3 linked regions of the Saccharomyces cerevisiae S288C genome follow. The gene in region 3 interacts genetically with the main gene of each other region. Each region holds a gene or a part of one and is shown on either strand. Other genes may lie near its edges. The genes, in order: SWC5, GIM5 and SET2.

Evidence for each region.
Region 1: mutations in SET2 (region 3) and SWC5 together harm fitness more than expected from each alone (negative genetic interaction), as found in Saccharomyces cerevisiae (6 studies listed by BioGRID, with this or other methods).
Region 2: mutations in SET2 (region 3) and GIM5 together harm fitness more than expected from each alone (negative genetic interaction), as found in Saccharomyces cerevisiae (6 studies listed by BioGRID, with this or other methods).

The regions. Positions count from the first base shown.
Region 1 is NC_001134.8:681,569-685,003, forward strand, and holds SWC5 (Swc5p), read right to left. Parts: upstream 1,523-3,435; coding exon 611-1,522; downstream 1-610. Other genes in the region: telomere maintenance protein PBP2, read left to right, coding at 1,860-3,101; DAD3 (Dad3p), read left to right, coding at 3,409-3,435. UniProt on the Saccharomyces cerevisiae protein: Component of the SWR1 complex which mediates the ATP-dependent exchange of histone H2A for the H2A variant HZT1 leading to transcriptional regulation of selected genes by chromatin remodeling. Involved in chromosome stability.
Region 2 is NC_001145.3:80,385-83,508, reverse strand, and holds GIM5 (Gim5p), read right to left. Parts: upstream 1,235-3,124; coding exon 1,219-1,234; intron 1,136-1,218; coding exon 660-1,135; downstream 1-659. Other genes in the region: UTP14 (Utp14p), read right to left, coding at 1-419; DNA repair protein RAD10, read left to right, coding at 1,396-2,028; YML096W (putative asparagine synthase), read right to left, coding at 2,023-3,124.
Region 3 is NC_001142.9:102,670-106,428, forward strand, and holds the start of SET2 (histone methyltransferase SET2), read right to left. Parts: upstream 1,760-3,759; coding exon 1-1,759. Other genes in the region: ERG20 (bifunctional (2E,6E)-farnesyl diphosphate synthase/dimethylallyltranstransferase), read left to right, coding at 2,345-3,403. UniProt on the Saccharomyces cerevisiae protein: Histone methyltransferase that trimethylates histone H3 'Lys-36' forming H3K36me3. Involved in transcription elongation as well as in transcription repression.

The sequences.
Region 1 (3,435 bases), on a different chromosome or scaffold from region 3:
AATAACCTTGAGCAACCGTCGTCTCAAAAACCAATTTCGAAAAACCATCATAAAAACGCCTTATGAAGAAACCATGAGCGAAGAAAAATAGCAGCAAAAAGTAGTGAGACCTGACATTAGCGGAAAACAACTTGCTTAAAAAGTCTCTTCCCGTCCATTTTATTATTTTGGGTGCCAAAAAATGTGTATTGTAACAAATTAAAAGGTAATGAGCCTCATTGAGGTCATTTCAGTTGTTACACTGAAAAGAACAGATACTACACTTGATCTAAGCCAAAAGGCAAAGAGATTCGTGGGGATTTAAAAAAAAAACAAGTAGAAACAAAATGAATAAATCTGATAACAAGTAAAGTACTCATCGATGAAAAAATGAATGTAGAGCCCTTTTTATATGTTTTCACCGAGTGGCCCATCGGAAACGGCAAAAAAAAAAAAAGAAAGAAAAAAGAAAAGAAACATAGAGCGTTGCTAGGTTTTTTTTGCCACCCACACCCATACACCCCATTACTTTGTCTGCAGCATCGTTATACACGTAGTGAAAGTGTGCAGGCCTCGGCGGTTAAAAAAATTTGAGCAGAAAAGCATGTTATTTAATACATGTAATATTTGTCTATGAAGCTTCGCTATCCTGCTGCAACTGCTGAGCAAGTTGTTGCCGGCGCAATTCTTTGTATCTCTCGTCCTCTGCAGACCCGACCCGCTGCAGAAATTCTTGCCGGGCCAAGAACCCATCCTTGTTGTGCAGCACCAATTCGTCGTTAAGTCCAGCACGGTCTACATAACTAGCCCAGTCCAGCTGAGATTTTTCTAATGTCGTTAGCTTGGGTCGTAGCCCGCCAGAAATGATCTGCTCCAACAATGGAGGCCTTTTCAGTGGCCGTCGCAAGTGTTGCCGGCTTTCATTGGACTTGGTCCTAACTGCTTTTTCCAGTTGAACAGGAGCAGCAGGCGCCTGCTGCTTAAATTTCAAACTGTTTAGATATTCTTGACCCTCCGCACTGCTGCGTGAAACCCATTTTTTCTCATGGACAGTTTCACCAGCAAACTTGTAGTTTCTTTCGATGAGGATTTTGTCCTCCTGTTGCGCGGCCGTTGTCGACCTAGCCTCCTTGGAACCGTCGAGAACAGAGCCGACTTTCCCTGAACTGCTCAAAAGACGGTTCTTACTAGCTTCCTGTAGCTCCTCCCAGATGCTGTTTACTTTTGCAGGGATCGATTCAACAGTTAACGATTCATACTTATGTGTTTTCGCATATTCTTCCTCAGCTTGCCGAGCTCTTCTAGTCTTGATCAGTCCGCCGCTCTCGCTCTCTATACGCGAATAGTCCACTTTATTTCTACCCTTATCTCTGTTCACACCGTCATCATAGTCGTCACCGCCATCGCTGGCATCACTATCGTCGCTACCACCACCTAATTTATCTTTTTCAGGCTGGAAGTCCTCGTCCTCCTCTTCTATGTAGCCGTCCTCGTCCTCGTCCTCCTTTTCGTTTGGTATAATCTTTGTCTCTACTTCTGGCATTTATAGGCTAGTGGGTTTTCTTTCTTGAAACAATATTATTCCAGTTTACGCCTTTTCGTCTTTTTTCTTACTTGTCGATTAATCCTATTCATCATCTTTAAACTTCGCTCTTTAATTCACTTTTTTTTGTCTTTCCCCGATATGGTACTTACACGAAATATCATGATACAAAAGAAAACACGTACATACTCGTCAAACGATAAATACGCACCTAGTCGTTAGCCGCATAAGTAACCTTTTTCATATTCAAACTTATCCATAGCCACATCCACTCTAACAATTTTAATCGTCCAGCGCGGCATTAAATAATCTTTCTGTAATACTCTTTAGCTCAATTATGTCCACAGAGACTACAAAACCATCAATCACTACTACACCAACTACTGTACTCGTTTCTCCCAACACGCTCAAAAGGAAAAAGGGTGAAGACACCAGCGAGGAACAACTGGAAGCAGAAATCAAACGCGTGGCCCTGAAGGATGCAGACAGCCACTCTGACAACGACCACGATTCCCCCGACAATGTTCCCTCTGATGTACATTTACGAATGCTGTGCTTAGTCAAACACGCTTCACTGATAGTAGGACACAAGGGCGCCACTATATCTAGAATAAAATCCGAAACCTCTGCTAGAATAAACATATCAAATAATATCAGAGGTGTTCCTGAAAGAATTGTTTACGTGAGGGGTACTTGCGATGATGTAGCCAAGGCATACGGCATGATAGTAAGAGCGCTGCTTGAAGAACATGGTAACGAAGATAACGGGGAAGACATTGAGATTTCTATCAACCTATTGATCCCTCATCATCTTATGGGATGTATAATTGGCAAACGTGGGTCTCGGTTAAGAGAAATTGAGGATTTGAGTGCAGCAAAATTATTCGCGTCCCCGAATCAATTGCTGCTTTCTAACGATAGAATTTTAACCATTAACGGGGTTCCGGATGCTATCCATATTGCTACTTTCTACATTAGTCAAACATTGCTAAACTTTCAGATGGAATCTCCGCAGAAAAATGTGAAAAGGTCCATATACTATCAGCCAACTCAGTTTAACTCAGTATTAATAGACCATAGCCAACCGAACACCATTTTCCATCAAAGAAACCACCAATATCATCCAAGCGATAAACTACTTTCATACAAACCCAACAAAAATTTACCAATATCATCTACTTTGTTGAGTATGGCCACACCGCAGTATACTACTGCTAGCGTTGCAAACGCAACGGCCTTTCAACCGAACTTCGTTATCCCTAATGTGACAGTCTTAGACGGCCCTGTTATCAGTCCGGCACCCGGCAACCATTTATTAATGAACTTTGTACAACAAGAGATATTCATAGATGAGAAATTTGTCGGAAATGTCATTGGCAAAGATGGCAAGCACATAAATTCGGTCAAGGAATCCACAGGTTGTTCAATTATTATACAAGATCCTGTAGAAGGCTCTTCGGAGAGAAGACTTACCATAAGAGGTACGTTCATGGCGTCCCAAGCTGCTATTATGTTGATTAGCAATAAAATTGAAATTGATAGATCAAATGCTGAACGTAAAAGAAGGTCGCCCCTCTAAATATACTGCTAGTCAATAAAAACACATAGAAAATAAAAATACAGAAACTACAAAAGGCAAAAAAAATAAAAGAAAAGGTAATAAATTGAATGAATGTAGATATATAAATATCAATAGAAATACGTACGCGGAATTATTTCTCTTTGTAACAAATTGATCAAAAGCTTTGTATTTTTTTTTTTTTTAGCTCGGCTGCGCGCTATTACAGTAATTACATGTAAATAAACTATTCCAAAGAATACAAAAGAAGAGCTTACAGTAGCCAGTCAAAGTCGCTGTGAAACATACACGGCGTTGTAGTCACAGTATGGAACACAATCTTTCACCTTTACAG
Region 2 (3,124 bases), on a different chromosome or scaffold from region 3:
GCGGTTTTCTCATCCATGTCCCACACTTGAGACAGTGGCATCAAATCTTCTTCATCAATGGAAGTATACCCACCTTCATCCTCTTCTTCTTGGTAGTTTGCATTCTCCTTCTTGTCACGAATAGTTTGTGAGAATTTGGAATTCAAAATGTCATAGTCATCATCAGAGCCCAACGCTTCATCAGAGTTCAACTCCTCATCTTCAAACGACTCAGAATCGATATCATCTTCATCACTGTTAGTGTCACCTTTTGACCTTTTTAACAAGTTGACAACTGTACCATTACGACGAGCATCATGTCTTTTGTCATTGTCGCTGGAGTTATCGAATTCACCATTAATTTCTCTCTCAGCAAGTTGCAAAGCATCCAAAACTCTTCTAGAACTCTTGGATCTGCTCTTAGATTTCTTTTTTGCCATATTTAAGTTAGCTTATTTTGTCTTGAAGCCTCTTTTATTAGTATATAACAAGATGTTATTGAATGCACACTTAATGAATTTTTTCAGCTCATCGCCATAGGAATTTGAAAAATTTTCAATGGCCTTTTCCGGAAAACTACAAAGTGACGATAAATAAAAAATTACGTTGCATATAGATAAACGTATATCAGATGGCTACAAATGAGATATGAAAAATCGTAGGAAAAGCAAAAGAGTTACCTAGGCTGTAGACGACTCCTTTTTTTGTTGCTGCTGTTGTTGTTTACTCATCGCTTCATGCTGTCTAATAGCGGCTTGTCTTATTTGGGCCTCGATGGACAAGGAATACTGGGTCTTTTCCTTAATAATATCTTGGATCTGTACAGATTCTTTGTTAAGCTTGTCTACTTTCTTTTGGTAAAATGCGATTGCTGCTTCAGCGCTCTTTTCAACGTAATATCCTGTACCAATGTCGACCATGAATTTCTTATTGTCTACAATCTTACCTGGGATGTATAATGATGCAGATGCTGGAACCAGTAGTTTTTGCCCTTCATTTCCTGCTTGGGAGACTGTTTTAATATCATCAATACATTCTGTGAACTTGCCCTTAGCCATGGTTAATGCTTGCAAGGACTGTGTGAAATGCTGCAATTCTTGGTCGAATTGCTGTTTTACAGCATTCAGCTGCTCGGGATTTAGTTTAGTTAAATCGACTAAGTTTCGAACATGTAGTAACTTAAAAGTTAGTAAAGTGTCTGTACGGTGGCAACAACGAAGGAGCTATTCATTTACATACTTTTTTGAGAGGACATGGCTTGATTTTTACAGTGCTCTTTCTTGTTTGGGTCACAGCAAGATTTTCATCTAAGACACTTTTCTATTTAAAATCGTTAGAACAAAAAAGAAAATTGTAACTTATGAGACAGCCACGCAACACAAAAAAGGGCATAAACAAAGTTGGTTATCCTAGAAGATGAACAATACTGATCCTACTTCATTTGAAAGTATATTGGCTGGTGTGGCCAAATTGAGAAAGGAAAAGAGTGGTGCAGATACTACTGGATCTCAATCGTTAGAAATAGATGCATCAAAACTCCAGCAGCAGGAACCGCAAACATCAAGACGCATAAATTCAAACCAGGTCATAAACGCCTTCAATCAGCAAAAACCGGAAGAATGGACCGACTCAAAGGCTACAGATGACTATAATCGAAAGAGACCCTTCAGGAGTACTCGACCGGGAAAAACTGTACTAGTGAACACTACCCAAAAAGAAAATCCACTCCTGAACCACTTAAAGAGCACCAATTGGAGATATGTATCTTCAACAGGAATTAATATGATATACTACGACTATCTAGTTCGTGGAAGAAGTGTACTGTTCTTAACTTTGACTTATCACAAATTATATGTCGATTATATCTCTAGGAGAATGCAGCCCTTATCTAGAAACGAAAATAATATACTGATATTCATAGTAGACGATAACAACTCTGAAGATACCCTTAATGACATTACAAAACTATGTATGTTCAACGGATTTACTCTACTTTTAGCATTTAATTTTGAACAAGCTGCAAAATATATTGAATATTTGAATTTATGAACAATTCCTATTTTCTTTTAATAAATCTGTTCCATGCTTATTACCATCCTTTGTCATTTTAGCGCTTTTAGCACCGAATTGAATGGCCCTTTTTGGTTCTGATGATATTCCATCCAACTTCAAATACTGCGAGGCAACTTTTCGAAGGATTAATTTGTTAACCTTGAAATTAATGGGAATTTCTGCTGTAGATAACTTTATAACATATTCATCTAAAAATGGGTATCTCACCTCCACGCCATTATGAGCTATCACTTTATCATCACGATTCAGGTTGCGATCATAAATGTTGTTTATTTGCCTTGTAAGTTCCTCCACAAGTTCATGGGGTGGTTTGTTGGCAAACTTGTGATATCCACCGTAGAGTTCGTCTGCTCCCAGTCCGCTGAATAACACTATCCCATGGCGCTGATATGGCGTTCTTTCCCCATTCAGAGAAGTTAAGAAACCTCTACCTCTCGACGCAAAAAAAAAAGCAATGGCTATAGACAAGTCCATTTCAGTCTGTTTAGGATACATTAAATTGATAACAAATGGCTTCCATTTTAAATACTCATCATAAGGAACGTCAACTTCAACCAGTTTGATATCAACATTAGGATATAAGTTTTGTAAAGTCTTTGCACTGTTAATGGACAGTTTTCTATCAGGTGTATCACTGGGAAAAAGACCAGTCCTGGGGTTTTCGAAGGATACATTTAGAAGCTCTATAACTGGTTTTCCACATTTATAATCATTTTCTTGCAACACCTCGCAGATCAACGCTACTATTACTGAACAATCAATTCCTCCTGAGAATAGTACCGCAATAGGAGAGTTTTCAATATGCCTGGGATGTATGGACTCTACCCTTTTTTTTACAGAATCACGTAGCACAGCATATAAATTTTTAGACACCTCTGACAATGATGTGAAATTCAGATCTATCTCTGATGTCACTTCGTATGGAAGATGTGACCTCTGATTGGAATTTAACAACTTAGTTCGTGTATCATATTCATAAATAACTCCACCTATACAATCTTGAAAGGACCCAGCAGACCCCGTTACACTAGCGACGTACAATTCGTTGTCTGGAGTGACCGAATAAGACAAA
Region 3 (3,759 bases):
AAACGCTTTTTCTTTCATTCTCAAGCTTTAGCTTTTGCTTCAGGCTTTCCAATTCTTCTTGTTTGGCTCTTTCTAGCGCAATTCTTTCGTATTCCAGTCTTTTTTGTTTCTTCCTCTCATATTCTTCGTCACTCAGCTTATGTTTCTTAGAGTCTAAAGCGCCAGGCGTTTTTGGTATTCCACTGCTACTCGGAGAATTTACTTGTGTATTTGACCTTGAACTAAAGACCTTAGATGATCCCGAAGGTGGATAGTGTAGTTTCGTTTTCTGTTCTGCATTATAATACAATGGGCGACCGTTTTCGTGAATGATCTCCCAGCCTGGAGGTAATCTCACCCTTCTCAAATCTATCATTTTGCTGGCTGCGACGTTTATGTCTTTCTTCGTTATCCTTTTATATGTTTCAAATTTCGACCATTTCTCCAATAACTCATCGCAGTTTGGCTTTAAAAATGGAAACTTTGCAGGGAGAGTTTTTACTACATTATCAATTTGTGACGACTCAATACCGTTTCGAGTTGTCTTTGGTAATTCCAACAAAAAATCTAAAATTCCCTTTATAAACTTTATATCATCTTCTTCAGTCTCGTTTCCTTTTCCATCTACCTGAGGTTGTTCCGTGATAAACAATTTAAGCATTTTGCTAAAACAGGTGTAACCGTGTAGTTTGATAGCCTGATGACGAAGAGAGTCATCATCGATAGTAAAAAGTCTCTTCAAGAGTTTGGATGCAATTATCTTATTATCTTGCTGTAGTAATACACTCATGATCTTCGTCACATCCACTGGGCTGTCGATAGGTTGGACTTCCAATGATTGAAGAAATTCAATATTTATGTTCTCGTTTTCATTCTTTATTATTGGCTCACCGCTTAATTTCTTTAACTTTAGCCATTTTTTCTCCATGGAAACAGTCACTCCCAAGGCATCAGCGATGTTCTGGGGCAATAAAGATGCCGCATCTGTTTGAGTCTTACCACCGAGAAACCCAATACAATTTGGCTCCTCACAGTAGCATTTCTGAGCTTGAGCACCATAACGATCCACATTATAATCAAAAGTGATTTCCTCACCTTTTAAAATTTTTCTTTGAGCAAATATTCCCATGCGTAGCTTATCCTTAACAACCCATTTATTAACATATGCATTGGGGCTGCAAGAGTGATTGCAAAATCTGGCCAACGAACCCTTTATTGTGGCGTCAATGAATTCTCCGTTCTGTAACATCATAAAATAAAAATGCTTGAAATGACGTTGGTCATAGTCTATTAACCTATCTCTAAATTCCATCTCCTCGATCACCTCACCTTTGTACTCGTAAATGAACTGGTTGGCTTCTATGTCCTGTTCGGCTCTTACGCCATAACCTTTATGCTTTGTTTTAAATATGGCTATCGGAGCGTACTGCTTCTTTTGAAATCTCTGATTTTGACAATCATTACCACAAGATGAACACAAATCGTTGACACATTCTATCAACGTAAGTCTATTGATACAGTCAGAATCCTCGTCACAGGCATGGTTGACGCCATCTGAGAATTCTTCATAACAGTCACATTCCATGAAATCATTATTCTTAAATGTTCCGATCCTCTTGTTCGCATATATACAGTCATCCAAGTTTTCAAATTTGGTCAATGCTTCCTCTGTGAGATCAGGCTCTTGATCAAAAAGCCTTTGAGGTTTATGGCCCTCAGCGTTGTTATTCAGTATTTCTTTTTCATCTTCCGACGCACTCACACTTTGGTTCTTCGACATGATCACGTAAAACAACAACCAGGAAAGGAGAAAGGTTTGACAGCACGACTATGCAGTTTTCTATCACACGTTCGAAAGCCCCTTTGAAAAGCTGCCAACGTGACCTTACGTTCTGATAAATAACCACCAAATTACCAATAATTCTAATAGTTTCTTGGAATTTTTCACATGTTTGCAGTGAATAAAAAAAAAAAAACGTTAAAGGTGATATTGATCACGTGACAAATCTGTAAAAGTACGGATACTGTCCTTATTACTGCGATATACAGTGTGAGGTATTCTAAGCGGTATATTCACCGTCCTCTACACATATTTTAAATACTGATGAAGTGACAAGCAATATCATTGAGCATTCTTTTTTCAATAGTCGAAGTCAGCTTCTTCTCGTCGGTTCTAAACGAAACGCCTTGTTGAAAAAGACCGATAAATAGAGGAAGCAACGGCAGGAAATATATATAAACGCATGTCGAAACTAATACTTTATGATAGATTGTTCTTCTATCAGTTTTCATTTTAACTTTAAAAACTCAACCAACAGGTATTGGACTGACATAGGCACAATAAACTCAAAAATATTACGTAGAAATGGCTTCAGAAAAAGAAATTAGGAGAGAGAGATTCTTGAACGTTTTCCCTAAATTAGTAGAGGAATTGAACGCATCGCTTTTGGCTTACGGTATGCCTAAGGAAGCATGTGACTGGTATGCCCACTCATTGAACTACAACACTCCAGGCGGTAAGCTAAATAGAGGTTTGTCCGTTGTGGACACGTATGCTATTCTCTCCAACAAGACCGTTGAACAATTGGGGCAAGAAGAATACGAAAAGGTTGCCATTCTAGGTTGGTGCATTGAGTTGTTGCAGGCTTACTTCTTGGTCGCCGATGATATGATGGACAAGTCCATTACCAGAAGAGGCCAACCATGTTGGTACAAGGTTCCTGAAGTTGGGGAAATTGCCATCAATGACGCATTCATGTTAGAGGCTGCTATCTACAAGCTTTTGAAATCTCACTTCAGAAACGAAAAATACTACATAGATATCACCGAATTGTTCCATGAGGTCACCTTCCAAACCGAATTGGGCCAATTGATGGACTTAATCACTGCACCTGAAGACAAAGTCGACTTGAGTAAGTTCTCCCTAAAGAAGCACTCCTTCATAGTTACTTTCAAGACTGCTTACTATTCTTTCTACTTGCCTGTCGCATTGGCCATGTACGTTGCCGGTATCACGGATGAAAAGGATTTGAAACAAGCCAGAGATGTCTTGATTCCATTGGGTGAATACTTCCAAATTCAAGATGACTACTTAGACTGCTTCGGTACCCCAGAACAGATCGGTAAGATCGGTACAGATATCCAAGATAACAAATGTTCTTGGGTAATCAACAAGGCATTGGAACTTGCTTCCGCAGAACAAAGAAAGACTTTAGACGAAAATTACGGTAAGAAGGACTCAGTCGCAGAAGCCAAATGCAAAAAGATTTTCAATGACTTGAAAATTGAACAGCTATACCACGAATATGAAGAGTCTATTGCCAAGGATTTGAAGGCCAAAATTTCTCAGGTCGATGAGTCTCGTGGCTTCAAAGCTGATGTCTTAACTGCGTTCTTGAACAAAGTTTACAAGAGAAGCAAATAGAACTAACGCTAATCGATAAAACATTAGATTTCAAACTAGATAAGGACCATGTATAAGAACTATATACTTCCAATATAATATAGTATAAGCTTTAAGATAGTATCTCTCGATCTACCGTTCCACGTGACTAGTCCAAGGATTTTTTTTAAGCCAATGAAAATGAAGAAATGCGTGATCGGAAATTACGGGTAGTACGAGAAGGAAACTTGAGCCACCCCCCAAATTTTATTCATATAATAATAGGAAAAGCAACGACCTCATCTCTCGAACATTGTTTACTTGAGCAAGTCCGATTAAGAGTAAGTTGTCGTACGTTAAATACAAATAATCAACAAAACACTACACAAAAACTTCTA